Linked DNA regions of Rhinolophus ferrumequinum. The protein of the gene in region 1 purifies or fractionates together with the protein of each later gene. This does not show direct contact. Links are inferred from orthologs where the notes say so. Each region holds a gene or a part of one and is shown in the gene's direction. Other genes may lie near its edges. The genes, in order: OTUD5, MAPK1, PPP2CA and GRB2.

Region 1 (8,010 bases):
GTGTGTGCGCTTGTTACGGTCCAGGCACTATTCTGAGCACTTTGTATCATCTGTTATCTCATTTAATCTCCACAAGCACCCTATGACATAGGAAATGTAGCAGGTCCTTAAATAACGTCATTTTTTTATCATGTTGATGATAAAATGCCTAGGAACATAACCCTTGTTTATATCAGTTAGCCTCTGCTACAACTGGTTTTCTTAAATGTCGTTTCAGTTAAAAATCACAGAACATATTGACCCTGTTAAGTGAGGACCTACCGTATTGTTATCCCCATGCTACAGATGAGAGAAAAGAGAGATTTAGAGTGGTAAGAGTGGGACCAGGATTTGAACCTAGGACTCTCTGACTCCAGAGCCCTTACCCTGTACCACCATAATTGAGGGTGCAGGGGAAGCATTTAGCACAGTGCCAGCGACCCAGTAAGCACTTAATAGATGTCATGATTGCTGTGGCAAGTATTAAGATGACTTTCTAAGAACCTTCCATCTTTCCATCCACAGCCGTTCAAGCCTCAATGCCAAGCCCCATGGCAGCCTTGACCTGAACTGCGACAGCCGGGACTTCGTGGCTGCCATCATCAGTATACCCACCCCTCCTGCCAACACCCCAGATGAGAGCCGACCTTCCTCCCCTGGTGGCAGTGGTGGTGGCAGGGCCAGCAGCACCCTCAGGAACTCCAGTCTGGGTACCTCTTGCTTCCTCCCTGAGACTGTCAAGATCTCTTCCCTGTGAGGGGTGGACCTGCCCATCCAGAGGGCCCTCTTGATTCTTGAGGGCTCCTTTCCAAAGCCATATTTTGGGGAGGCAGGCAGCAACAGGCCTGGGGACCCCTTCTGCCCCCCACTGAGAACTATGCAATGGAGTTTCATGGAATCACCCACCTTGTGGGGACGTAGCCAGGGAATGGGGCACTTCCCCACCTCAGACAGTTTTCCTGGTGGGAGCTGAATCACTGGGCTTCCTCAGGCTGCTGGCCTCCTTGCCCCAACACACTAGGACCAGGCCCTCTCTCCCAGGGGGCCTTCTGCATGCTCCTCCCCTCGGGCCCTCAGGCTCCCACCTGATATCTGAGCTCTGGCCTGAGACGAAGAGGTGAGACTTCCTCTTCTCTCTGGCTGGGCTGTGGCGATTTGGGGGTTCAGAGAAGAGAAACATCACCTCTGATCTGGTCCCTAGGAGAGGTCCCCACCCTTCACCACGCCCAACAACTCCCAGATTCTGAAGCTTGGAATGCAACCACAGGCTTCATGGGCTGTGGCCTCAGCAGTGACCTGCCACCCCCAGGCCTTGGCTCAGGGTCAGGCTGCCTCTCCTAACACACACAAAGATAGCACAAACACTACACCCTTCCCTGGCTGCTGGAAATGGGTCCCCACAACCCTGTCCTCCGCTGGGCCCCCAGCAAACTCTAGCAATAGCAGCTGCTGCCATGACATTATGCAAAGCCTCTGCCCAGTTTGCTGCAGTATATACATCTGCCCTAATCAGAGGGGCCACCTCTAATACTCCTCCTTGTCTCTGCTCCTCTGGTTTGCTTCCTTCCTGGGTTGGGCTGGAGTCTGGACTGGGTGAGATAAGCACCTGGCAGCCAGCAAGGGCTGGGCTGGCTTTGGAGCTCATGGGCTGATTCCTTGTTCTTGGGCAGGAGTCCAGAACGCTGAAGCCTGGGTTGTTCTTGAACTCTGGGAGTTGTAGGAGGCAGGGGGAGCTTCTTGATCTCCTCCTCCTCTTTCTCCTCCTCCTCCTCGTCCTCTTCCTCCTCCCCCACAATGCCTTTTCACATATCCCTCTCTCTTCTCCCCCTTGGGTCACCTTCCGGAACTCTGTGTGTGCTCTCAGGCTGATATCTGGCATCATCTCAGGTTCTCTGTCCTCAACACTGTCCCTGAGGAGCTGGTGGCTGACAGAGATGTAGTTTCCATCAGTCAATAAAATCTGAGAGGAGAGCTGGGGATGAGCACCTCCTGGCTCTGTGTGTTTGGGGGCTGGGTTGGGCTGATTTCAACTATTAGAAGGGCTGGTGTGGGTAAAGGTATGGGAGATGGGTGGCTGGTGACATGTTCTGGAAGATGGGGATCTAGGAGAAATGAAAAAGGGGCGAGGGGTTGAAGAGTTGAATCTCCAGCCAGTGAGGCAGGTTAGAAGGTCCTGAGATATGTCCCCTTAGACATCATCTGTTCCCACCCCCTCACTCATAAATGGGGAAACTGAGACCCAGAGCAGCACATGCTTGGCTAGGGGAGACTTAAACACAGGCTTCTTGACAGCAAACTATTCTGAATTGAACCCCAATGAAAAGCATCTCTCAATGTGGCAAATTACCCTTCCTTGTGGATGTCCCCTATATGTCGTCTTCTGGGATACTGAGTACACGAGGCTAGTGTGGGAATGAGCTGTGTGGAGCACCACGAAGACAGACCTTGGATTCAGGTCGACCTGGGTTCCAATCCCTGGGAAAGAGAATTACCATATTTTGCCATGTATAATGCACTCCATGTATAATGTGCACCCACGTTTTTGGCCCAAACTTTCAGGGGGGAAAATCTTTTGTTTTATTTTTTTAATTCAAATTTTTATTTGTTTACATTTAGGTACTTGTTTTTTTGTATTATAAAGGAATTTTAGTTTTGTTTTTTCTTAAGATGGGCACAGCTTACAGTGGCCCATGCTGGGATCAAACCGGCAACCTTGGTGTTATCAGCACCAGGCTCTAACCAACTGAGATAACCGGCCACCCCCTAGCATTTATTTTTTAACATATTGTGGTACAAGAAATTTTATGTAACAAATAATTACAAAACACAAGGCACAGATACAAGGCACAAGAAATTTTCCGTACTGGTAACAAATTTATGATGTTTATGCATCCCAGAAGCAGGAGAATGTCACACAAAGAATGAGCTGGAGTTGGCCAGGCAAAAGACGAAAGGATGAAAACGTTTCAGGCAGAGGCAACAGCATGTACAAATGATCCGGAGGTTAGAGTGAACTTGGGGCCTTTGGGGAATTGAAATTAGTTGAGCAGAGCTGCAGAGGAGAGTGTGAGGCTGTGGTTAGGGTAAGGATGCAGAGGTAAGCCAGATCACAAAAGGCCTTTGAAGGTAGGATACAGATTTTGGATTGCATCCTAAGGATAATGGGACCTCCTAAGGCTTATAAACAGGAAAGTCATCATCAGGTTTGTGTTTCAAAAGGATCATTCTGGCTGTGGAGAGTGGATTCTAGAGAAATAGTCCTGGAGGGAGGAAGCGCAGTGAGGAGGCTTTTGCAGTGGTCTAGTTGGTAGGTGATGGTGGCTTGGACCAGGTAGTGGCAGTAAGAGTTGGAGACTCGAGATTTGAGAGGTAGAATCGGCAGGGCTTGGGACTGACAAGCATCTTGGAGTTGAAGAAGAGGGAGCAGTCAAGGCTAACTCCTAGGTTTCTGATTTGGGCAAAAGCTCAGTGGGGATGCCATTCACTGTCAAAGGGAACATCACAGTGCCAGGCACACAGCAAGTACTTAGTGATGATGAGTTACAATTATTATCATAAGTTCAGTTTTTCTTTTTTTTTCTTTTTTTTTTTTTTAAGGAGGGCGCAGTTCACAGTGGCCCAAGCAGAGATCGAACCGGCAACTTTGGTGCTACCAGCAGCACGCTCTAACCAACTGAGCTAACCAGCCACCCATAAGTTCAGTTTTAGATGTGTGGTGCTGGAGAAATATCCAGTAGGGAGTGGGGTATGTGGGTTGAGTGAAATGGTCATGAAAAGATCCAATGTGATAACATGCATAGGCATTGGGCACAATGCCCTGAACAAAACAGGCACAGTTAATGTGAGTCGTCTCCCATTACGTAGGTCTCATAAACAGAAAACACGATAGTTAATTTATTACTGACACCCTTCAGGGAAGACTTCAACTAGGGTTGGCATCTGAAGGGAGGTTAGGTGGCACTCAGAAGAGCTTTCTGATGGGCTCTCTTTCAGTCCACTGGTTGTAATGTCTTGGCTCCTAAGACGTAGGGAACCCTCACCTCTCACAACACCTTGGTTTATTAGCTCTTCAGAACCTCATAACTACTCCCTGAGGTAGCATGGGCAGGCATTATTCTCGTTTTACACATGGGTAACCTCAACTTTGAGACAGTGTTATGCTCAAGGTCCTACAGTTGGTAACGGTCCATCTGTGCATGGAACTGAGGTCTTCCTGACTCCAAAGCCTGGGATCCTTTCCGTTGCACCACCATGCCAACTAATTTACTGGGCACTTACTATGTGCCAGGAACAGCACCAGGCCCTTTACAAGCATGAATCTCTAATCCTTACAATGGAGTAATCGTGGCCAATTTACAGAGAAGTAGAAATTGAGGATGAGGTGGATGTTAAATAACTTGCCAGAGATCATGCAGACAAGGAGAGGCAGAGCTAGGATTAGCTAGTAGATCTCTCCAGCTGCTGAGTGGCAGGGATTTTACCATTGTGAGATGCTGGCTGCTGACAAAGCTGGTTCATAAAGTGTTTTTTTTTTTAAATATTTTTTATTGGGGAATATTGGGGAGCAGTGTGTTTCTCCAGGGCCCCTGAGCTCCAAGTTGTTGTCCTTCAATCTTAGTTATGGCAGGTGCAGCTCAGCTCCAAGTCCAGTCGCCGTTTTTTTCAATCTTTTCAGTTGCAAGGGACTCAGCCCACCATCCCACGCGGGAATTGAACCAGCAACCCTGTTGTTGAGAGCTCACGCTCTACCCAACTGAGCCATCCTGCCACCCCTCCCGCAGCTCAGCGGCAGCTCGTTGTCTTCAATCTAGGTGTGGAGGGTGTAGCTCACTGGCCCATGTGGGAATCAAACCCGCAACCCTGTTGTTCAGAGCTGGCGCTCTAACCAAGTGGGCTATCCGGCCGCCCAGGTTTATAAAGTTTTCGCTGAATCCAGGTAAACAGTTATTTTGAAGGGAGGAAAAGGCTGTGCCACGCCTGCGCACTAGCCACAGGGCGGGGAGGTCAACGGGAGGGCGAGAGTGCCGCGCTGCCAAAGAGGGCGTGTCTGCTTCCCAAACACCCACTGTCCCCACGGTGCTCGTCTGTCCCAAGGTTCGTCCGACCGACGCGAGTGAGGGCATCTCTTAACCAATCACCGCAGCACTCCGCCTGTTGCCAGGGTGAAGTGGAGCCCGCCCCTCCACTGATGTGGATTTGCAGGTGGGTGGGACCGGAACTGACGCTTCAGAGGATTTCTAGGCTCTGGGAGTGTTATTTTCCTGTCAGTCCCACTGACAGCGGCCAAGTTGGGAGCCTGGGAGGGAGGTGCTTTTAAAACTGTCCTGCACAAGGCAGGCCACGCTGTCCTGTCACAGTACCTCCGCCTGCGAGTCAGAGCCTCGGGGACAGAAGTCAAGAGCAGAACGACGCCGAGGAGAAGGCCAGGACCCAGGGTGCTGACTTTGACTGAAATCCGAGACGGAGGAGGGCGCAGGAGGGCGATTACTCTCTTCTGATTGGCCCGTGGACGTCAGCGAGGACCCACGCAGCCGCTTCGATTGGTTGGTGCCTGTAATTGTTGTGGCGGCGGTGAAGATTTTTGCCCACGTACTTCCGAGCGAGAGGCAGGGCTGTGCTCTGGTGCGCGTGCGCGGTGCCCCAGGGCCCCACCCGGTAGTTCAAGAACCTGCGAGGGGGCGGGGCGAAGAGGTGCTTGTTTTGGTTCTGTTTCCTTTGAAGCAGAAGGCCGGAACGAGCGTAGCAATCAACTTGCCGAATTCGGAGAGAAGGCGACGACGAACTCACCGCGCTGCCTTCACCTTGGACTTCACATCCGGGTTCTCCTGTCGCGTGACCTGCGCGCCGCCGACGATTCTTGAACCCGTGTTTCAATCTCTTTATCCGGGTCCTCCCGGCGATCCCGTCGTGCTTCGCGCATCACAGTAGCCCCCTCATCCGGGTTCTATCCCGGCGTGCCGCGCGCCGCGTTTGCTGAGGGGTACTTGTCGGTGCCGCCATGACTATTCTCCCCAAAAAGAAACCGCCGCCTCCCGACGCCGACCCCGCCAACGAGCCGTCGCCGCCCGGGCCTCTGCCCCCGGCACCGCGCCGTGGCGGGGGTGTGGGCGTGGGCGGCGGCGGCACGGGCGTGGGCGGCGGCGATCGTGACCGTGACTCGGGCGTCGTGGGGGCCCGTCCGCGGGCCTCACCGCCGCCTCAGGGCCCACTACCGGGGCCACCGGGTGCACTTCACCGCTGGGCATTGGCTGTGCCGCCCGGCGCCGTGGCGGGCCCCCGGCCACAGCAGGCCTCTCCTCCTCCTTGTGGGGGCCCCGGCGGTCCCGGCGGCGGTCCGGGTGACGCGCTGGGTGCATCGGCTGCAGGTGTGGGTGCGGCGGGCGTGGTGGTTGCCGTGGGCGGCGCGGTGGGCGTGGGCAGCTGCTGCTCCGGACCCGGCCACAGCAAGCGGCGGCGTCAAGCCCCCGGGGTTGGCGCGGTTGGCGGTGGCAGTCCTGAGCGCGAGGAGGTCGGCGCAGGTTACAACAGTGAGGACGAGTATGAAGCGGCAGCAGCACGCATCGAGGCGATGGACCCTGCCACTGTCGAGCAGGTATGAGCTGGGGGCGACAGGTGAGCCGTTATGGTGGGTGGGATCCCCAGACTGGGTAGCGATCCAAGAAAGGCTGTTTAAGATCTCCCCAAGGGACCTAAATGCCTTCTCCCGAATCTTGACACACTTTTTTCTGCTGGTAGGGGTGTGAGACACCCTCTTTCTCCACTCCTTTTCCCCGAGGACTTGAGGTTAGAGGCCCCAGATAAGACGAAGGACTTGAAGATGGGGTCTGCGGTCTTTTCCAGGTCCTGAGACCTCATCTTGTAGGTCCAGTAGGTGGGAACCCCCCAGGAGACAGAGGCAGAATGGCATGCCTCCTGAGAAGGGAGTCTCATGACTCTCCAAGAGAGAGTCTGTGTTCAGTGGCTTGAGATTTCTTTTCTTCTGACATAAGAATCTAAGAGTCCCCCTCCAGGGAACACAAGTAAGATGGAGACCTCAGATATCTTAGTGTTCCCAAGATACCAAACCCTTTCAGGGGTCTGAGATACTCTGCAGAGGACAACCCTTCCACCTCCTCGGGGACACAGCACAGGACCATTCAGCAGTGGGGTCTGACACTTTTCTAAAATCAAGGGCCTGACACACACATACACATCCCCTGTAGAGAGAGATCTTCTGAGCTTTTCTCCAGGGATGTAAGACTTATCTTGAGGAGGTAAGATTCTCTTCCCCTGAAGGCAAGGACCAAGATATCCAGGGACCAGAGACTCTACTAGGGTATATGAGACTCATTCTGTAAGTGACGAGGGTCTATGCTTCCTCTCAGTAATCTTGAGAACTCCTTGGTGACAAGAGTCTGAATCTCCCAGAGCTTAATCTTCTTTTAAGTGATAGACCTTTGGCCCCTCTCCCTCATCCCACCCAACACCACCACCACCACCAGGCCTGAGCCTTTCTTCAAGAAAATGAGGCTCACTGTTTTGGATGGTGGAACCCTAAGATTCCCCTGCTTAAGGACTGGGGCTGCCAGAGACTGGGTCTGATACCCCCACAGAGGTTTCAGGCCAGGTGAAGTCTTTAGGAGATTTTTTTCTTCGAGGACTGGTGTCTGAGTGTTCTCCTTGGGGGGGGGGGTCTGAGACACCTCCACACACACACACACATGAGGTCCTTCTGCCCCAATTATGAAGGACTGAAACACATCTTGGGGACTTAATAGCCCCCTCTCCCCTTGAAATAGATCTGAGCACTGTCCCCTCCCTCCCCCTGACAAGTGCCTGAGCTCGTCAGGGACGTAAGATTTCTGCCTTGGGAACTTGACCCTGAGACCATTCTTCAGGGACATCGGCAGCATGGAGTCCCAGAGGTGGAATCTGAGGGCTCCCCACGGATCTAAGCCTGTCTGCAAGGGCCGGAGACCCACTGTGCCAAGGACACTGGAGCTTTCCCTCAAGGACAAGAGAGCCATACGTACCCCAGTGACTGCTGTGTCT
Region 2 (7,106 bases), on another chromosome or scaffold:
ACCCCAACAGAAAGGGAGCACCCCCTTCCCAATTGTTTCTTTATTTTTATTTATTTATTTTTTTATTGGGGAAGGGGAACAGGACTTTATTGGGGAACAGTGTGTACTTCCAGGCCTGTTTTCCAAGTCAAGTTGTTGTCCTTTCAATCTTAGTTGTGGAGGGTGCCATTCCGCTTCAAGTTGTTGTCCTTTCAGTCTTAGTTGTGGAGGGCGCAGCTCAGCTCCAGGTCCAGTTGCCGTTGCTAGTTGCAGGGGGCACAGCCCACCATCCCTTGCGGGAGTCGAACCGGCAACCTTGTGGTTGAGAGGACGCACTCCAACCAACTGAGCCATCCGGGAGCTCAGCGGCAGCTCAGCTCAAGGTGCCGTGTTCAATCTTAGTTGCAGGGAACGGAGCCCACCATCCCTTGCGGGACTTGAGGAATTGAACTGGCAACCTTGTGGTTGAGAGCCCACTGGCCCATGTGGGAATCGAACCGGCAGCCTTCGGAGTTAGGAGCATGGAGCTCTAACTGCCTGAGCCACCGGGCCGTCCCCCCAATTGTTTCTTAAAAAGACTGAGTGTCATTGTCCTGGATCAGGTCACACATGCATCCTTTGAACTAATATCTGTGACTCTGATTGGGGAGCCCTGGGTCACATGCTTGCTCACAAGAGTGCAGAAGAGACAGAAGACAGTTCACCAACAGAAAATTTGGTTGTGCTACCAGAAGGAGGAGTTGATGCTGGACAGGCAAAAGTAAGAGATGGCCATTGTTTTCTAAAATCTGTGAATTGTTACCACTCTAGAGAGACAATAAGGAAGACATTCAGGTGGCCAGCTAGCCATCTGACTAGGGTCTTATGCTTTGATAGTAGTTTAGTTTTATTTCAGTGAGTCTAGTTCTCAGCTTTGTGCTTCCAGAAGTTTGTTATTGTCACTGAGGCTAGATAACCTTTCCCTCTGGGCCTGTATCATGCTGATCTGACTCAGTAGAGACTGATGTATAAGTAAATCCCATCTTAGAATGAATAGTAATCTCCAGAGGACCTGAATAGTGCTGTCCTCTGGTCAGTGCACTTTCCCTGTCAGAAAACCACATGCAAAGCTAAACTCTAATTATAAGGTTGCATGGAGCCAGGCAAGAGAAGTTCTCCGGAGAAAATTAGTGATCAGGTGCATCATGCCATGATAGTGTGGTGGCTTTAAAAAGTCCACAAACGCTGGAAGGGTGGAGGGAGATTAGTATGGAACATGGAAGGCAGAGTAAAAGGAGTTGGGGTGGAGGGATGGTCGGCATAGACCTCAGTCTGAGTGCAGTGGGGAGCCACTGACTTGCTTTAAGAAGGGGAGTGACATGGTCAATTTTGTTATGGAAAGACTACCTGGGTATGAGGAGAAGCCATTGGAGATGGGCAACACTGAAGGCAGAAGAGTCAAGGTGAATGGCAGTGGGAATAAAGTGCATACATTTAAAACAGTGCTTTTCAAAGTTTAATATGCGTACGAACCACCTGGATCTTGTTAAAATGCAGATCCTGATCCAGTAGGTCTGAAGAGGGACCTGAGATGCTGCTGGTCTGGAGACCATGTTTTGAGTAGTGACTATTTCAGAAATATTAAAGAAATAGAATTTACAGGAGTCTGTGATTGTTTGGATGGGGGGAAGGGATGAGAGGGAGGTAAAATGAGTTGTTAAGGATCATACCCAAACTTCCAATTTGAGTATCTGGGTGAAGATGATGCTATCCACAGATACAAGATGAAGAACAGGTTTGGTGGGGTAGATAATAATAACATAACATGTATTGGATACTTACTATGTGCCAGGCTCTTTATGTATACTGTTTTATTTAGTCTGTACAACAAATTTATGAGGTTAATACTATTGTGATTTTCATTTGAAGAGTGAGGAAACTGAGGCCAAGGTCACACAGGTAGTATGTGGAGCAGCCAAGACTCAAACCCTCTGGAAGTGTGAGTGCAGAATGCGTGCAGTTAACCATTGGCAGTTTGGATATGCGGAATTGAAGCACCTGTGGGATGTCATGTGGTCTGTCCAGAGGGACATGCTGACCTGGAATTCAGGAGAGATATTCTGAGTAATGGTTAAAGATCTGGGAGGAATTAAAGCATTGGAGGGAATGAAACCATCCATGGAGGTTTCTAACCTACCCCCTCAGAGTGCTATTAATCTTATTCCATTTTCCTTTGGGCATTTAATTATTACAGAGGAGGAGTCTGAAGACAACTAGTTTTTAGCTTTTTTGTAAATAATCTTTTCCCCCCCTCTGATTGGATTCTCTTACTGCTTGTTCTTTACCCCTGAAATTTAAGAATTTTTCCAGATTTCCAGATTATGTCTTAAAGTTGGTTTCTGCTGATTAATTTTTCTGGATCCCAGTAAACTCACTCAATTTTTTACCTATACCTCAGATCTTTTTACACCTAAGGCAAGTTTTCTTTTATTATAACTTTAATTATTGATTTGTTATGTCTTCTTTTGGGGGATGCCTATAGTTTGAATCTCCATGATATTCTTGTATCCATTTTCTTCTCTCTTACAGAATTCCATCACTTTGAATATTTCTTGTGTTTATATTCAATATTGTTGATTTGTTCTTCTGTATTGTCAAATCTGCTCTTTACTGCTTTGACCAATGAATTTTACTTTGGTTATTGTGGTTTTAGTTTCATATTACTCTCCATTTATCTTGGCCTGTTTTTAAAAGATGCAATGTCCTCTTGAAACAGAGAATAAGAATTAGGTGTTTTCTAAAATTGAATTCTGCTTCATGAACTAAATATATTTCAAAGTACTAATTTTTGGCTCTAGCACTTTCTTTTCTCATGTGCCACATATGTTTTTTCCCACAGGGCTTTTCTAAAAAGTTGCTCATTCACCTTTGAGATAGATTAGTTGATCTTTGCTGATGTCTGGAAGTCCAGCATTGACGGCTTTCAAGACCACAGTGTTGGACAATCAGGATGCAAGGTCTTCCACCCTTACTCTGTTCAAAGATAGTATAGGAAATGGTTCAGAAGCAGTGGCTGGATCATTTTGTCTCGTCTTAGCGATTCTTGGCTTTCAACTGCTTCAGGATTCCAGTTTTTATTTTTCAACCTATGTTGTTTGTGACTATTTTTTAGCCTCAGTGTGTATGTCTCATTTTCCCTAGTTCTTGATGCTTGGGTTTAGCGTTTCCATCTTTGTATTTATCAGTATGTCCTCTAAGTTTCTGTCCCTCTGTACCAATCTAGGTCTCACTCTCTGAATCTCTGTGTCTTTCTCTAAGCGTCTCAACCTACTTCAGCAGGTCCTCAAATAACATGGATTGGCCACGGTAGGAACTTAACTCTTGTTTATATCAATTATCCTATAGTAAAATTTGTTTCCTTATAGCACCCTTTACTTAACATCTCAGACCTTTACCACACAACTTGAGTAATTAGTGTATATATATATATATATATATATATATATACATATATATGTAAATGTGTCCATCTTCTCCCTCTAGAATGTAACTTGTATGGGGGTGGATGCCCAGGAACTTGGTAGGTACCCAACGAACACTTGTTGAGCGATCCTCTCTGTCTGATTAGCGGATCCTGCCACCTTTGTGTTTCATACTTTCTCAGTATGCAAATGTCTTTCTCGGTCCCGGTCATGCCTTTTGGTTTCTGTCCTGGTCTCAAGGTCTCTAAGTTTGTGTGTGGGCCACAGACTAGCACAGGCCGGGCCCAGGCCTGCAGCCGGTGTGTGGCGGGTCGTTGTCCCTCACACGCTGCCCTGGGTCGCTCTTAGGCTTAATCCGGACCCCGGTCCGGGTTTTCCCCTGCCCGTCTCTTAGGATCACCCCTTTGGGTTCTCTCCCAACAACTCGGATACCTCCAGCCTCTCAAGAGCCACTTTCTGCGCAGAACTCCCTCCCCCCCGACCGCCACAATAGCACGTGACCACGTACGGCAGTACCGCGGGCGCCGCGGCTGGCTCAGCCGCGGAGCTCCGCCCTGAGCTCGCCGCTTCCTTCGGCCCGCGCAGCCACGCCCCTAGGCCGCGGAGAGCTAATCCTCGCGCACGCTGCTTGGCCCCGCCCGGCGCCCTCCTCGGCGCGCGCCCCTCCCTCCGCCCGCCGGCCCGCCCGTCAGTCAGTCAGGCAATCAGTCGTTCTGGGTTGCTGTGGGTTCTCCAGGTCTTCGGAGCGGTTCCCTCCTTGCTCCTTCCCGGTCAGCAGCAGCAGCTGCACCAGCTGCGGCGCGGTCCCTCCGGGAGGCGCGGCGTAGGTCGAGCGGCGGCTGCGGAGCGTCGAGCTCAGCCCAGCGCGGCGGAGGCGGCTGCGGCGGCCCGGCAGCCAACATGGCGGCGGCGGCGGCGGCGGGCGCGGGCCCGGAGATGGTCCGCGGGCAGGTGTTCGACGTGGGGCCGCGCTACACCAATCTCTCGTACATCGGCGAGGGCGCCTACGGCATGGTGTGGTGAGTGTCCGCGCCCGCCCGCAGGCCTGGCCGCGCCTGCCCACCCCATCTTTCGGGGCCGCAGGGGACGCAACCGCGGCCTCGTCCGCGCCTGGGCCTCCCGCGCCGCCGCGCCCCCAACCTTGGGCTTCGCTGCGGCCCGCGCCCCTGGGGCTTCGGGCGGGGCCCTGGGGCCGGTGGAGGTTTGGGTGTTGCTCGCGGCATTTCGCGGGCTGGCCCTCGCTCGCCGTCGGGAGGGGCGCGGGGGGCGGAGGCCAGGATCCCGGGTGTTGCGGGCTCCGGCGCAGCGCGGATTTTGAGTCAGGACCCCCAGGAAGGGAACAGAAGCGCCTCCCCCACATTCCCCCTAATGCCAGCATGGTGGTCTTCTTTTTGACATCCGATTGTAAAGCCGGGAATTCCTTTAGATGCTTGTGGGTCGGTGGTGGTGGCGGCCGGGATCGTGAAAGCGGTTCGCCTCGTCTTGTGTGTAGAACACCGAAATGGATCTATTTTCCTTCTCTCGCCTGTGTTTTCCTCGAACGGCTTTCATTAAATATTTTCAGTGGTACTAATGGTGCTCTAATGCGCAGGCTTTCTAAAAAGCATTAGTGGCACCAGTGTTGTGTAATATTTCAATCTTGAAGTTTTTAAATGGATTTTAATATCGTGCTGTTTGTGTTTCTGGAAGGATAAGCCAACAACGTTTTCCTGATTTATTAAAGAGTCGTTTGGAATTGGGCCTAATTTGACTCTCTTTCTTTACCCCGAGTGAGCTCTCTTACCAGCATAAATACATCCACACGTTAAAGAACAATTACTGTGGTCTTTTTCAGTTAATGTTTTAGTGGTTAGTATATATGCAGCCTTAATGGAGGTCTTGCAGTGTTACGTGCAGGGTTCCTCATCTTAATCTATATCCCTTGGAAACGGGGAACGCGGGTGACGATATTATTTTTATTAGAACCAACTAGCTAGTGTTTTATGCTGATGGAGACATGTGGGAGTGTAGATTCCCTTACACCTAAATCTTCTTGTGACTTGTCTTTTATGTTGAATGAAGGAAGCAAACACATTTATTGAACACTAAGTGGCAGGTACTTTGTTAGGTACATTATCTCATTTTATTTGAAGAGCCACCTTGAGGGAGGAAAAGGTGGTGATATCTGTCTTTCAGGTGAGAAAGTATTTCGAGGTGAAGCGAATTTCTAAGGTCATACAATTAAAGAGTCACACTTGAGAGTGTAGACTGAGATCCTAATTCAAATGCTGTAGCTCTTTCCATTACATCTTGCTATCCTTAAATAGTGTTACTACCATTTCCCTGAAAATAAGACCTAGCCGGACAGTCAGCTCTGTAAGTCCCGGTCTTATTTTACTGTAAGACCGGGTCTTATATTAATTTTTGCTCCAAAAGACACATTAGAGCTGATTGTCTGGCTAGGTCTTATTTTTGGAGAAACACGGTATTAGTTTTAGAATTTGAGCATATTTTGTTATGAGCAAATCTATTTCAGAAACACATTCAAATTTGAATTATCATAATTTTAGAAACATAGAGGGCATAGTTTACCAAATATGTTAGCTAGATAAAAAGACCAGTTAAAATTGTGTTTTTAAAGAAAGACTACTTGAATCTTGAGTATTCTCATTCTGTTCAGGAGCAAAATGCTGCACGGTATACAACTATGAAAATGAACGTGAACTCAGAGGCTTATGAGCCAATAGAGAAATTAAATTAGGTCAGGCCTAAAAGAAAGAAAAGCCTTAGGAAGTAACGGAGAAACAATACTGCCCACAACATCACTTCTCTGTCATACATCTGATTGCTGTTGCACCTGCTGGTTAAGTATGCCAGTAAACATGTCTCACTATAAGAGGCTCAGAATTGCCCATCACATCCTTCGGCCCTTTTTAAAAAATTAGCATCCAAAATATGGACTGAAGGGCTGGCCCGGTGGCTCAGGCGGTTGGAGCTGCATGCTCCTAACTCCAAAGGCTGCCGGTTCTATTCCCACATGGGCCAGTGGGCTCTTGACCACAAGGTTGCTGGTTCAACTCCTTGAGTCCCACAAAGGATGGTGGGCTCCGCCCCCTGCAACTAAGATTGAACACTGGCACCTTGAGCTGAGCTGCCTCACAGATGGCTCAGTTGGTTGGAGCACGGGCTCTCAACCACAAGGTTGCCAATCGACTCCCGCAAGGGATGGTGGGCTGAGCTGCGCCCTCCACAACTAAGACGGAAAGGACAACAACTTGAAGCTGAACGGCACCCTCCACAACTTGGGGAAAAAAAGTCCTGGAAGTACACACTGTTCCCCAATAGTCCTGTTCCCCTTCCCCAATAAAATCTTAAGAAATATGGACTGAAAAAATCTTAGGATATTTCATTGAAAGGATTTTTTCCCCTTTCTGATAGGATTTTTACTAGTCTGAAGATGATTTTAGGTGTGGTAACTTTTCTATCACTGCTGTAGACTTGTTTGACCTTCTAAATCTCTTATCAGGCCTAGTCCTCTTACTGTGATTTTCCTTTCCTGAATAAAATACAAATACAATTGGAATTAGAATTCTGGGTCCAGATTATAGCTTTTGATTTCATGTTGATGATATACGCTAGTAAGTAGTTAATCTACATTGCACATTATTAGCATTTAATAAATATTGA
Region 3 (7,308 bases), on another chromosome or scaffold:
ATTGAAATGCTTTGTGAGGAGGCCATGTGAGAAGGCCACAGGAGAGGTGAAACTTCTTTTCACAAGAAAGTGGGGCCCTTGCGTAATATTCCAGAGAGTAGTGGAACACTGAACAGAACTGTTGGCTGCGTGTGCTTTGGGCCTGTGATTCCCTTAAGAGGTACTTGGTCACGTTTACTCAGACATTCTGAAGATTTTCTTTTCACGATTATAAAAGCAGTATGTTTTCATTACAGATGAATCAAGTAACTAAAAAGAAAATAAAAAACCAATCCCACTCGCCAGAAGCAACTGACGTTTAATACCTCTCATAAACATATATTTATAATACATATTTAATAAAATTAGGATTATAGCACACATGCTGTTTGACAAGGGACTTTTTTTCACTTAATAATATACTGTGAATAATATTGTCACTAAATATACTTCTATGGTAAGATTTTGGATAGGTGCAAAGTTGGTGACAGTATTTTTAAGGTTTACCTAGCCTTCTGGAATGATGAACTTTGCCTTCCATTCCAGAGAGTTTTGTGTTTTTTTTCCTGTAGTAGAGAAAAATATTTCCTCTGTAACTGAGAATGGTATCTGGATGTCAAGGACATTAGCAGGGGACGTGGTCATTTCTCTTTTTCTTTAAACTGCAGTCGCTAGGGGAAAGGGCTGTAGTATGTCTATGGCAAGTTCCTGGCCACAAAATTTTGGCCACACTTATAAAGTTCTAATTCCAGGTGAAAGGACAAAAAAGTTGAATTTTTCTGAAAATCCCAACAGAGAGCAACAGGGATAGATATCAATGAGTTGCAAACACCATCGTGTATCCTGAGTGCAGAAATCTTCTGGTAGTTAAGCAGGTCTAGTTGGCCAGATTAGGGCAGGTTTCTCATGGGCCAAGCCACTAAAATGTTGATTGCTCAGGTCTTTATTTTGGGACGTCTGAGGCATAGAAGGCCTAGATGCGAAGAGCATGTTAGCAGATATGGCACCCTTTCAGATACAGATTCTGAGCTGACAGGAGCATAAAACCGACGAGCTGTATTAATTCTTGCATTTATTCCTCAGTGATTTTCTCTCTACATAATAAGCCTTCTAAATGTTTGCTTGATGGCAAGGGAAGAGAGGGGTTTTCTTTTTTATCTACCTCTACTTCTCTTTGTTTGAATTTCCTCCCTCATTTCTACTTCACCCAATGGCTTTGTGTCTATATGATGTTTTTGATACCGTTACTTTCTGTTTCCAAAAACCACTACGTATTTCATGGCAGGCATCAAGGGGCTCTAACTGGCATTAGGATATTTAGAATCAGAGACCACTTAGAAATAAAAAGAATATTACCTAATACCTACTGGACATTTATTATATACCATATGGTGTTTTACATTTATAACTTCATTGAATTCTCAGAAGAATCCTATTATTTGGCTGTTACAATTATCCCCACTTTATAGATGAGAAAACTGAGACTCAGAAAAGTTAGGTAACTTGCCAAACTTCACACACTGAGGCAGTTGCAGAACCAGAATTCAAACCAGGTCGATCTGATTCCAGAGCGGCTTCTTACCTACACAGTTCTCCCTTCTGTCTCAGTAAGTTTAGAATTCAGGGAACTGGAAGGAACAAAACAAACCTAACAGAAGACCGAGAGAGAATGGCTGATAAGATACATCGCATTCCTTCATCATGTTTAATGTTAATTTTAATCTGTTGGCTTAGAGCGCCTATTATAAAGTTATTTGCTCAAGTTTATCTTCTTCCCACCCCACCCCATCAGATGATTTTTATTTAGAGCTATGTTTGAACATCATAGGCGACTCGCTGTATACTGAACTTGCCATCTGAGCAAAGACTCTTTCTCAAAGCATAGTTGCTTCATTCACTCTCTGGTTTTTGCCAAGAAATTAAAAGGAAAATTTTTTTTGGTTTAACTTTTTGTTCCAAGTATTCCTCAGCTCTAGAATTGAGACGGTCAGGTCCAATTAGTCAAGACCAGACTAATCACACTGAATTTTCAGATCCATTAGCTGTTTTGAGTTCCACAGAATCAGAAAACATTCTAGATTTCTTCTAAAGGAAAAGACATTCTGATTTAGTTCTATGTTGTTTATAATCATGTATGCTTTACTTCACTGCTTGAATGCTAGTAAGGCTTCCTAGAATTCATTGCTTAAGAAGTCATGGCATCTGATTATTTGGCAGGATGTTTTAAGTATATATAATTATGTCTTCTCTCCATTTTGTGATGGTAGTAAACCAAGTAATCGGCATCAAGAGAAAATAAATAATACCTACATTAATGCGAGCAGCAAGGAGCTCACAGCACCTTGGAAAAACCCACTCATTACAATCTTAGTACATAGAAGGTGCTCAATAGTTTTTAATATACCAAAGTCACATCACCTCCACCTTTGTAGATAAAAGAACTCAGGTAAAGGAAATCATATTGACCCTATTCCATATTTCAATCCTTGTGTGAGCGAGGCTGAGATCTTGCACTTGAGAATATGAAGATTTAAATCCTGATGACTACTTTGGGCAAGTCCTTTCTCTTTTCTGAGTGCCTGTCTGCTTCTTGCCCTATGAGACAGAACCAGTTCTCACAAAGGTACAGGACAACCTGAAGAATAAGATAGCCCACTGGACCTGGCTTTATAATCGTGGGCACCGAGTGATGACTTTTTTCCTCATTCATTCTACATGGTATTAACTCTTACTCCTCTATTATTTAGGGACACTAACTACAAAACGTGGCCAGATTTTCAGCGAACAGAACACTTCCCAGTCTAGTAAATTAACTATATTATAAGCCTTTGGAGAGTAGATCTAAGGTACTTTCTTGGGCATACATACTCCTGGGAGGTACAAAAGGAAAGCAGAATTGCAATTTGCAGCCTGGGAAGGCTAAGCCAGTCAGCCTGGCCAGGCAGGTCGTCTTTGCTGACGGAAAATTTTCAGTCCCTCCATTGGTTGGTCTGGGCTTCTAGGGCCTTCTCCTTCAGAGCTGCAGTGAGCTCCCTCCTCCAGGACATCATTGAGCACTTGGGTGGAACAGGGTCCACTGCTATTGGGGATAGGAAGTCTGGAAGACAGGACACCAGGGTCAACGCTTGCCTTGGGCTGTAAGGTTAAATGTCCTTTGCTAAGCTTCGCTCAGATCCTGTGGACACCGTAATCTCTCTTCTATCTATCTGCAGACCATTTTAAGAGTATTGTTGGGAGAATACAAGTTCCACCAGGGCATGGACTCCTCTCTTAGGCGTGGGATCTAGCATATAGCTAGCCCTTTACGGAGCCAAATATAGAGGGTGCCAAAAAAAAGTATACACATTTTAAGAAAGAAAAAAACTATTAAAATTATAAATAATATATACCAATAACAAAAGATAAATACAAGTCATGAATACACTTTTTAAGCACCCCTGGTATTTCTGTGAGTGCAGGAACAATGGAATGTGAAAACATATGGCAAACCTCAAGGAGATCCATAGCCAGACCAAAGTCGGACCGCAAAGTATCCAAGAATACTTTAAAGCACAGATCGTAGCTGTTTCTAACACCACCACTTGCCGTCAGGACCTATGCGTCCAGATATCTCCTTATCGCCTTCCTCTAGAAAGCAGACTAGGGCGTGCAGTTGTGTTGTGTGTGTGTGTGTGTGTGTGTGTGTGTGTGTGTGTGTCTAGAGACGGGGAGAGTGTCTCTCATTCCCAGGAGAAACCGGACTCTGAGGAGGGGCGCACACCTGTGGCGGAAGGCGACAACGGGCGAGGCTGCAAAGGGCGTGTGGAAAGTAGGTGAGGTCCAAGGTCGAGAGAGAAGCCCAAGCCTCGGCCCTGCCATCGCGCCCGACGAGACACCTAGGCCCGAGACGGGTGTGTGCCGCGGGAGTCAGATGCACGTGTGGCACTCCCCCCGGGAGGTACACCCTCCTCCGCCTACTAGTGACCTAATTACAAGGTGCCACCCAGAGACGGAGGTGGCATCCAACTGGGCTACCACTCGGCGCCCTTTCCCGCCGTCACAGATGCCAGAATCCTATGCAATTTCAGCGCTGTTGCACCATGGAGGAATTGTGGGGTCGCAATTCTCATTTCCGTGAACTGGTCGCCGTCGCCGGGTGAAGAGCCGCAAGGCAGCACCTTTGGGAAAAAGTCTCTGGCAGCTGGGAGTTCTGCTCCCGTCTGGACTGCGCCTGCGCCAGGACTGCGCCTGCGCCAGGTTCGCGCCCACACCGCGTAGGACACCGTGCTCTGGGATTAGCCCAGTTCCAGGCTGCGAGCCCCGCGCTTGCTGGGACTCGGTCTCCCTTCCCCCGGACCTCACCCTTCTGGAGGACCACGCCCTAAAAGCGAAGGTGCCTGTTACTAGCCGGCTCCATTGCGCCTGCGTCTTGGGCCCTGGTCCCGCCCCGACTCCGGTCTGGCGGCCGACTAGCGTTGGCTCTGCAGTTGCGCAGCTCGTTCGGTCTCTCTGCTACCCCTCCGCACCCCGCCGCCTCCTGACGCCGGGCGTGACGTCACCACGCCGGCGGCCGCCATTACAGAGAGCTGAGCTCCGGTGCTAGAGCGAGCGGAGGAGGGTAGCGGCCGGTGGCTGAGCACTGCGGGGCGAGCAAACAAGCTAGCGCTAACGCCGAGCAACCTCCAGTAGCCACACAAGTACCCCGGGAACCGGCGGCGGCGTGTGCGTGTGGCCCGTGTGCGGGCGGCGGCGCGGGAGTAGCGCGGAGCGGCAGCCGGTTCGGGCGGGTGGCATCATGGACGAGAAGGTGTTCACCAAGGAGCTGGACCAGTGGATCGAGCAGCTGAACGAGTGCAAGCAGCTCTCCGAGTCCCAGGTCAAGAGCCTCTGCGAGAAGGTGAGCTGCACTTCGGCTGCGGGAGCGGCCGCGGTTGAGCCCGCCAGGAAAGAGGCGGCCGTGGGAAGGGTGCAACATGGCGGAGGCCGCCGGCCCGGGCCCCCTGAGCCTCCCAGACCTGCGTCCGGCTTGGTGCGGCCCCGCGGCGATTCCCGGGCGACCCGGCGCCCCCTGCCTCCCGCGCAGGGATTGGATGTCGCCGCCACTGCCGCCTAAAATGGCGCCGTTCACCCAACTCCGGGGCTTCGGAGCCTCCCGGCCTAGGTGTCGGGCGGGGTGCTGTGGGAACTGAGACCCTGTGTGTCAGGGTTGGGGACGGTTTTGAGAGCCGAGTAAGAGGACTTGGGTTCTACGGCCTGGGAATGGGGCTTGAGACTCTACTGTGAGGTGGCTAAGAGGCCTTTTACTTGTGTTCGGGACGAATTTTCAGCTCCAAAACTATCTAGAGGATCCCCCAAAAGGCAAGCAAGCTTGTAGGCCAGATCCCAGGACCTGTCTAAAGGTCATACAGCATTAGTACTATCCTGGGTGGTTGGGGCTAAACACACTGAGCAGTCTTTTCCAGAGACTTTTTTTAAAGCGTGTTTCTTAAGAATTTAAAAATAAACCTCTAACCTAATGTCTACGAAGGTCATGGTAAAATATAGGGAGGAGTAGAACTTATTTTTCATAGTTGGAAGAAATGGAGAATTTGGTGAGTCATACATACTGCCTAAGGAGTTTGGGGATTGGAAATCAAGTGTCAGTTTAGTCTCTGATTTATATGCTGACTCAAGTTGGGTAGTGTGAAACCCTTCTCTAAGCTTGGCATTTTGCCATTTATTTTTTAAATGCAACAAAACCAGCAAATTTTGTATCCTGGCTCTTCCTTGGAAAAGTTACTCGTTTGTATTTTTGTGGCTTTAAGTAGTAATAGTATTAATAATAATAGCTGTCTATTGAGCCTTTCCTGTATCCGAGACTTTGTGCTTAGTGTTTAAATAATTTATCTCCCGTGTTGAAAATGGAATCTTGTAGTCCATTTAATAAGTCCATTTTAATTTCCGTTTTCAAAATTAACTTGGAAGCATTTAATTTTTAGTACAGGATTGTGGGATATCGTATTAGAATTTTGTATTAGTAAAGAGAGTTATTAGCAACTATGCTGACTCGTTTGTGGTTAGATGTGAAAATTAGGTTCATGGGTTTGGTGTATATGCTCCTAAAACAGGCTTTTTCGGAAACTATACTGTAGATTGCAATGTGACTCAAACTCACATTTATTTATCCCAAGCCTGAACAAAACTCGCCTAGTTGATGAGGTGGCACATTATCTATTAAAGCTTCGTTGTAATGGTAGCAATATGTTGAGTCTTGTGCTTCTTGACCCTTAATTCTACTGTGTCAAATGAGGATAGTGTTTATTTTAAAGGTTCAGAAATAGGCTTTAAAAAATTATTCAGTGTATATTATTAGGTCTTAGGTGCTTTACATGAAGACTTTGAGTCATTCGTTGGGTAGGTGACTAGTCATTTGTGTAGAAAATATTGGAAGAGAAGTAATGATGTAATTGGAAGACTGACTGCAAGTTCCACCTGTACACTAGAATTCTGCCACAGTAATTGACCTTGGAGCAACCACTTCACTTGGTCCACATTTTCTTGTCTATAATAATAGAGTTAAAACAGAAATCTGTTCCAGGGTCTCTTCTAATCTGAAATTATACAATTCCATTTTAAATTTGTACTTTGTGTTTGTATTGAAATCCAAGGTTGCTTACTCTTATGAGGGGAATGGAAAGCAGCACAGAATAATTTTCTCAAGGAGCCTGAATCTAGTTGGAGACCAGTAGATGGACCACAGTAGTGTAGAGGGTTTGTATTGGAGACTATAGAAGATAATATTGCATGGTAATTTGGATTGGCTGAAGCTTGGTGCATCTGGTAAAAATGTTCATTGTTTTCCACGTCTTTGAAAAATTAAGATGTAGTGAGATTAATCAATTTATTCTTGGATCTCCATTGTTAATCCAGCGTGTCTGGATTTCAGTTTTTAGAGCCAAAAAGATGGAAGTAAGATTGGAAGTTAGGTTTCCAAGAAATGGATCCTTTTGGGGGGGATATCACACAGCCTTCATACTTTTTTTAACTCATGAATATTTCAACTTTTGGTATTAATCTCCCAAACTAAATTAATTTGAAGGCAGTTTTTTAGGTATGTGGGATGAGTTAGCATACATGACTTGAAATTATCTTTTCTACAAGTCTTTCTAGTAAAACAAAAGTTCTCTTTTCACTGTTAATATTTGTATGGTCAGTAACACATCTGGTGAAAGCTACATATTTTGAAAATCTCGATGGGAAATTTTTTTTTCATTAGTACAATAGTTCTTTTTTAAAAGAAAAGGTACTGGTTGGAAATAGCTATTTGGTAATAATTGATAATTTCTTTGATTATGAGAAAGAAGGAAGATT
Region 4 (6,843 bases), on another chromosome or scaffold:
TGCAGTGTTTATAATGACCTGAAAGTGGGCAGGCTGATCAGTGGGCAAGCAAGAGCAGCCCTCCAGGAAGGATGGTGGCGTGCACCTGGTCAGGTGATAAAAATGGAGTCAGGAGGTAGAGGAAGGGAAGTCACAGGAATTGGTGTCCCATTAATAGGCGCAGCCTCAGAAGTCACCCTCGAAGCCTGAGAGGTGTATGCAGTCTTGGCTCACAGCTTGAGCAAGGAAGATTCTAAGAGGAAAACTTCCAGGATCAATGGAGCAGGTGGGAGTAGGATTTCAAATGACCAAGTTTAGGTTATCACTGGATGGCTGGTTTTTTTCTCACTAACTAGAAGTTCAGAAATGTGGGCTAAAAGGATGTGCCCGAGATGGTCTTGAGGCCGCTCCCAAGGCAGGGTCAGGGCAACTGTTAGGCCAGTTTCCTATGAGCTTTCAAGGTTCAGTAAGTTCCAGGGCAATGTCCAGTTCTACCGGCAGGCGGCAGCACCACAACTCACAGAAATCAAAGGGAGAAACCCTTTGCAACGCAAACCCCAATCGAAAAGAGAGACTTTTTGATGATTAATTTGTGCATTCCGAAGTGATTGATGTGGCCAGTTTGTCACTAGCAAGTTTTGCTACAGTTACAACAGGTTTTCATTACCAAGGTGACTTTTACTTCACAACTTGCCTCTTAACTCTAATTTCTTTTCGTATTAGATATTAGCCATACACACATTCAAAATATTACTGCCTCTATTGTGTTTATTTTCTCTGCATGGAAATGATCTTGGGAAGGGTTCTCTCAGGTTTCTGAGTCTGTGCCTGCAGAAAATAATTTTTTAATCGAAAAGACAACATAACAAATGTTGAAGAGGTTTTTTAAGTCACCCACAATTGCTTCAACACAATTACCGTGTTTCCTGGAAATAAGACCGGGTCTTATATTAAGGTTTGCTCCAAAAGACGCATTAGGGCTTATGTTCAGGGGATGTCCTCCTGAAAAATCATGCTAGGACTTATTTTCCGGTTAGGTCTTATTTTCGGGGAAACTTGGTAGTATTTTTACTTTTAAATGTTCCCTTCCAAATCTGGTCCATATGCATATATCTCTACACAGACATGCTCAGAGTCTGTTTTTATCAATGTTGCATTTTAAAAGGAAGTGCATAATTTTTTTTCTGTTCTCTTAGGCATTTAGTCTCTTCTGAGATCTCACCCACTTCCTTAGCTTCAAATATCACATTGAACAGAAAGGCAGCTCGTCTTTATCTTTCCACAACCCGTTATTTATTTGCTCATCCACCCATCCATGTATTCACTCCCTGCACTGCACTGTGCTGGGGGCTGGAAATGCAAATGTGAAAAGGTGTGGTCCGTTTTGTCTGGGAGCTTGTAGAGCTTGGGGTGGGATGGGAGTGGGGAGTGAAGGTACAGTGGGAATTTGGGGCAAGGAACCTTAAAACTGAGTTGGGGGCCTAAAGAAAGGGAAGAAGGCCAACTAAGCAGAGGAAACTGCATGTGCTAAGATATGGACACTCAAAAGACCATGGCCCCTTCCGGAAACCACAGTAGTTTAGTATTGGTGGAGTATGTGTTGGCTGGAGCCTGAGAGGTGGGGGTGACAGGCAGAGGCCAGATCCTAAAGGGTCATGCAAAGGACATGAAACATTACCTTGCCGATGATAAATATCTCTCCTGAAACACTGTTTTTTAACTCTTAGGCTAACCAGGGTCTCAGCCTAAACCTCCCTCCTCAGCATTCTCTGATCCTGGTCTAGGTCAGGTCCCCTGCTGTATGTTTCCAAAGCTGCCAGTACTACAGGTGCCATATTCTTAGAAATATGTCTTACTCTTTAGGCTGCGAGCTCTGTGGTGGGTTATCCCGCTCTCTACAGAGTAGATGCTCACTTAATGCTGTGGCAGGAACAAATGGAAGCAGTGAGCTTTTCGACAGCATGCTGGATATTTCTACCTTCATGTTCTCCTGGAACGATTAACTCTGCATTTCCAAAACAGGAGCATCAGCGTCTCCTCACCTGCCCCTTCCCTGCAGACCTCCTCTTAATCCCCTCTCACACCCTTACCCTATCAGCTACCCATTTGACTGGCAAATTTCTCTGTTATTCTCCCCACTCAAAAGAAAGAACTGCAACTCTTCCCTCACTTCCTCCTCCTCTCAGCTCAGCAGCTAAGTCTTTCCCTTTCATTTCTATTTTTTTTCTGGCCATCATTCTAAAACGAAGTACGATAGTAGGAAAAATATGGTTTTTAGAACAAGAAAGGCCTAGGTTCAAATCTTGGGTCTATTATATTTGGGTTTCCCTGAGTAAGTTACTAACCTCTCTAAACCTCAGTTTCTGACTCTGTAAAATGGGGATATTATCCACCCTGTAGAAACACAGTTACTTTAGTACACATCAGGTGGTAAATAAACGGTCCTCTTGTTATTTTCACATCATATCAGACATCTTCTGCTTAAAGACCTTCTGAAGTCGCATATCACTTGCCAACAAAACCTAAGCGATACATTTTGGCCTTGTCTCTCATTACTCCTCCCCCTAAATCCTAAACTCGAGTCAATCTGAAATGTTGGCTGATTCAGCCACTCTTTCCTCCTTGCTTCCATGTTGCAGATCAAACACCAAGTCCTCCCTGATTACCTGAGTACCAAGTAACTGGCTCCCTCCTCTTCAGCCCTTAAGTATTTCAGTGGCACTCAGGGCCAGCTGCTTTGCCTTGCAGTCTAGGCAACTCTCCTCTAGATTACAAACTGCTGGAAGCAGTGGCTTTGCCAGGTTACCCTGCATCGCTCCTTGCGTGTCGTTGATGCTCAATAAATACTTGGTGAAAGAAAATTCATTTTCCTTATTTCGATGGGCTTGTTTTTTTCTATAGAAGCAAATGTTTGTTTATTCTCACTTCAATGCTATTTGGCTTCCAGAGAGCACATTACCATTAGATGCGTTCTGTCCTCTCCTTTAATCGGAAAGAGCTTTTGGAACTGAAAAATGAGTTACTTCTTCAAGCCTTATCTGCCACTCCCCCGTACTCACCCCGCCTGGTTCGGGAATCAAACTACTTAGCGTTGCTCAGAACACGACTCTCTCACGCCTCCGTTCCTTTGTACTTGTGTGCCGTTCCCTTCCCCTGGAACGCCCTCACCCCTTCTTCTCTGTCTGGCGAACTCCTACTCATCCTCCAAGGCTCAGCTCAGACATCACAGCATCTTCTCTGGGAAGGCTTTTCTGAGATGGACCCAGGGGCGACCCCTCCCCCTATTCTTTTAGCTTCCCTAGCATTCCCCAAATAATTTTAACAATACTTGTGGCATTATTTGTTTACTTTTCTTCCACCCCTCTAGACCGTGAATTCCTTGAGGGCCAGGATTTCTGTTCTTCCTTGTACCTTGTATACCTAACACAGTGCTTAGCACATATTAGGTCCTTAATTCAATCAATGAACGACTCTATTAATTCATTTAACGTTGCTGAGTTTGTTTGGACCAGATTCTCAAGTATTTCAAGACCTATTTGGGGTGCTTCATGCAAGGAGGAGATTCTGCCCCGCTCCCCCAGTTGCTTTGATTTGGTGAAAGGGGAAGGGAAGTGATTAGGGTGTGCATACGAGTGATTCCTTCAGGGTTGAGCTGTAATTTACCGGCTCCGGCATCGAGCGGGTTACAGCGACTCGGGGGCGGAGCCGTGCGGGTGCCACCTGCTGCGGGGCGGCCTGGCGCCTGCGCCCTGGCGTCTAGGTCTACCTGCGAGGGCCTAGCAGAGGAGCGCTTGCGCTCTGGGCCTTTTCCGCTGGGGGAAGTCTCGCGGGGGCGGGGCGGGGCCGCGCGGGGAAGTTCTCGCGGGACCCCGAAGAGGAACGGAAGCGAGGAGGCTGTGCTGCTTCAGAGACCGGGCGGCGGCGGCGACGAAGACTGTGGTGGTGACAGCAGCGGGAACAGGCGCTGCCCTCGGGGAGCAGCAGCAGAATTGGCGGCCGCTCGCACCGCTGCGGAGGGGCCGGCCGGGCGCGGAGCGGAGCAGCTACGCCACGGTGAGTACGGCCGGCGGCGGCGGCGCTGCTGCTCCGGTGCTTTTTCTTCCCCGCTCCGCAGCGGGAGTCGGCCCGCAGGGACCCGGCCCAGCCTCCCGAGAGCTGCCGGGCCTGGGGGTCGGGGCGGCGAGGCCTGGGGCGGGAGCGGAATTCCCGGGGCTCCGAGCTCCACGTTTCCTCTTTTGGGGCGCTTCCTTCCTGGGGACCATCCTCCCCCAGCCCTGGGCTCGGGACCGACCCACTGACCCCGGAGCAAGAGGCCAGGGGCTCCTCATTAAATTTCATGCCATCTTCTTGAGGGTTTGCGCAGAAGGGATCTGGGAGAAGTCCGACAGCAGCGAGTGCTCATTCTGTGAGTCAGTCTGACTTGGCCCGGAGGCGGGGGATTCGCTGCGGGCTGCAAATGTGGTGATTGATGCTCCTTCGACCTGCACGGGCACCACGTCACCATCTCCTGGTGTCTTTGGGCCGAGTTTTGGGAGGGAACCCACCAACCCGATTAAGACCATGACTTAGAACGTTTGCTGCCGGAGCCAGTCAGGATGCCGTTACTTCGGCTCCCCTCCCCCTTTTTGAACGATTCTCTGAAAAATATTCGTCAAGAAAAATCAGCAGTTGGTTGGAATGCTTCGAGGAAAGATTTCAGGGCGAGAGGCGAGAGAAGCACTGTTTTTCATTTGCAACGCTTATCGTATGTGATTGTGATCCCTGTGAGTTATAGCTTGTTTAGGGAGCTATTCTAGGCTGGCTTCAGATGCTGTAAAAGTACAAATTGCAGAGGACCTGAAATGCACTCGAGGTCTGTTGGTAGTGGTGAGTCTCAGAAAAGGATCGAGAAGACCCACGAGAGAAATTACGTAGCATTCGTCTCAGGCTTTCTCGTGCCTCTTTGACTTTGTACTTCTCCAGTTGTTGCCTTCCTTTTCTATGTACTTCTCTTCATTCCACTGCGGACGCTAAGTGCTTGCCTTGTGTAATGCAAGTCACTTGCCCCCTCCCCCACCTTTTTTCTAATCTACTTTCCCTTCCTCATTATTTTCCCCTCGCTGGCATAATTTTTCGAGGTTTCTGCTCTTTGGAGCAGTTCGTTTTCTCCTTCATTTAAAGATTCTGTTTTCTGTCTCTTGGAAGACACCCTCTTTCTTGCGTTAACCTTTCCTTTTACGCGTCCACTGTGTTCTTTCAGTCTGCCAGAAGGATTGCTAGAGAGCCATGCGAGACTTAAATTCTCCCCCTGGGAACTGGGAGGCTCAAAGGATTGAATTCATCCGTGAGTAATCAATACTGCCACTAGGTCACAAGTGTAGCTTGCCTGTCTCATTTGTGTTTTAGTTGTTTTCTTCATTTTAAGATCCTGCTTTTGTGCCTGCTCACACTTTTCTTTCTCTGTCTCTTTTATATTAGTAAGAGTGGGTCAATTTGGGGTTTGTATGACTTGGCTTTTAGTGGGGGGGTGGTTAGGTTAAAAAACGAAAACCAACCATAGATTTATTTGTTCTGCTGCCCCTTCCCTTGTTCAAAATTTTCTGAATCCCCAAATAAAAAACAAAGTTAATTCTTGTAATCGGCTTTCTTTGATATGAAAAGCAATCATTTAAATGCTTGAGGCGGTTCATTTCCTCAGCAGGTGTATTCAGATTTGAGGGATTATTGGGTTTTTAAATACTGCTAGTTGATGGTACTTAGAGATTTTTCTTAGTAATTCCTATTATGTTGCATGTGTGCAGCAGTTCTAATTGTTACGTAGAGCAGAAGAGTAATAGACTTTGTAGAAATGAAGTAATACAGAATAGAGACTGACATGCTCTCGAGAGAAATTAATAGTTACTTGCTTAATTCAGAACTTTCTGGCACTACTGCATGACCATTGAGAGTCTTTGGCTTTCTTTGTGAAAATTGGCTTTTTCCCAGTTGTGCCAAGTGAGTATGTGAATATGCATTTTTTTCGTTTTATGCAAAGACATTGTGCATTATCTGGAATGCAAAGCTTAAAATCTGGTGAAGGCACCTTATAGTACACCAGTGATTCTTAAAATGTAGCATGCTCAAGAGTTACCTGTGAATCTTATTTAAAATTAGCTTCTGGGCCTAAGACCACTACACTGCAGAATTCCAGAAGGCACCCCACAGTGAATCAGTCTCTAAAAGGGGGGATTTTGATGCAGTTGGTCCAAGGACCAAAAGTATTGTTACAGAACACAACCATAAAATCATGAGACTGGAGTGTGGCTTTAAATTCCTCAACTTAAAATTATACTTTCTGTATATACAAAGGAAATATTTAAAAACCTAATAGAAATAAGTGACTATAGACGCGATTAGTTTTTATATGTGTAAATATTTGAGCATTGTTAGAATTGTGAGGTGGACCAATTTAAAGTTTATACTTAATAGGACTGGTAATCTGTCTTGTCGCGTCCAGCACAACACGGGCAGTGAGGGTACGAGAAGGGGCAGCTTTGGGTTAAGTTTTAAGAAAGAAACATACAGAGACTTAATGCAGTTAAATCTCAGAAGGCCAGGGGTCTCACAGTTCTGAAAGACTGGAGCCCAGAACAAAGCCGACTGGAGGTTTTTATTGATAAGTATACAAGGGAGTAGCAGTGTTTTTGGCACGGTCTGTGGGACTCACTTATCACGTTATAGAAACAACCCAAACCAATTATGTTGTCTTCAAATAGCCGAAGCAGCAAGTCCTTGAGGTGAGGTCTACAACTGCTTTAAGGGACATACATCACATGTCGAAATGGTTTCACAGAGCTGAGCAGAGAGAGCTTTATCTTATCACTCTCAAGACTCTTCTCCCAATTA

The links.
Region 2: the proteins of OTUD5 (region 1) and MAPK1 purify together in Homo sapiens (affinity purification with mass spectrometry; 3 studies listed by BioGRID, with this or other methods). This does not show direct contact. The link is inferred for Rhinolophus ferrumequinum from reciprocal best matches to the Homo sapiens genes OTUD5 and MAPK1.
Region 3: the proteins of OTUD5 (region 1) and PPP2CA purify together in Homo sapiens (affinity purification with mass spectrometry, with the first as the bait; 3 studies listed by BioGRID). This does not show direct contact. The link is inferred for Rhinolophus ferrumequinum from reciprocal best matches to the Homo sapiens genes OTUD5 and PPP2CA.
Region 4: the proteins of OTUD5 (region 1) and GRB2 purify together in Homo sapiens (affinity purification with mass spectrometry; 3 studies listed by BioGRID and IntAct, with this or other methods). This does not show direct contact. The link is inferred for Rhinolophus ferrumequinum from reciprocal best matches to the Homo sapiens genes OTUD5 and GRB2.

What each region holds. Positions count from the first base shown.
Region 1 is NC_046284.1:85,709,527-85,717,536, forward strand, and holds the start of OTUD5 (OTU domain-containing protein 5), read left to right. Parts: upstream 1-4,990; 5' UTR 4,991-5,522; exon of another isoform or gene 5,523-5,601; intron 5,602-5,703; 5' UTR 5,704-5,977; coding exon 5,978-6,571; intron 6,572-8,010. Other genes in the region: KCND1 (potassium voltage-gated channel subfamily D member 1), read left to right, coding at 505-736. UniProt on the Homo sapiens protein: Deubiquitinating enzyme that functions as a negative regulator of the innate immune system. Has peptidase activity towards 'Lys-48'- and 'Lys-63'-linked polyubiquitin chains. Can also cleave 'Lys-11'-linked ubiquitin chains (in vitro).
Region 2 is NC_046308.1:22,851,360-22,858,465, forward strand, and holds the start of MAPK1 (mitogen-activated protein kinase 1), read left to right. Parts: upstream 1-4,105; 5' UTR 4,106-4,340; coding exon 4,341-4,459; intron 4,460-7,106. UniProt on the Homo sapiens protein: Serine/threonine kinase which acts as an essential component of the MAP kinase signal transduction pathway. MAPK1/ERK2 and MAPK3/ERK1 are the 2 MAPKs which play an important role in the MAPK/ERK cascade.
Region 3 is NC_046307.1:10,228,774-10,236,081, reverse strand, and holds the start of PPP2CA (serine/threonine-protein phosphatase 2A catalytic subunit alpha isoform), read left to right. Parts: upstream 1-4,293; 5' UTR 4,294-4,753; coding exon 4,754-4,855; intron 4,856-7,308. UniProt on the Homo sapiens protein: Catalytic subunit of protein phosphatase 2A (PP2A), a serine/threonine phosphatase involved in the regulation of a wide variety of enzymes, signal transduction pathways, and cellular events.
Region 4 is NC_046304.1:50,382,528-50,389,370, reverse strand, and holds the start of GRB2 (growth factor receptor-bound protein 2), read left to right. Parts: upstream 1-3,826; 5' UTR 3,827-4,032; intron 4,033-6,843. UniProt on the Homo sapiens protein: Non-enzymatic adapter protein that plays a pivotal role in precisely regulated signaling cascades from cell surface receptors to cellular responses, including signaling transduction and gene expression.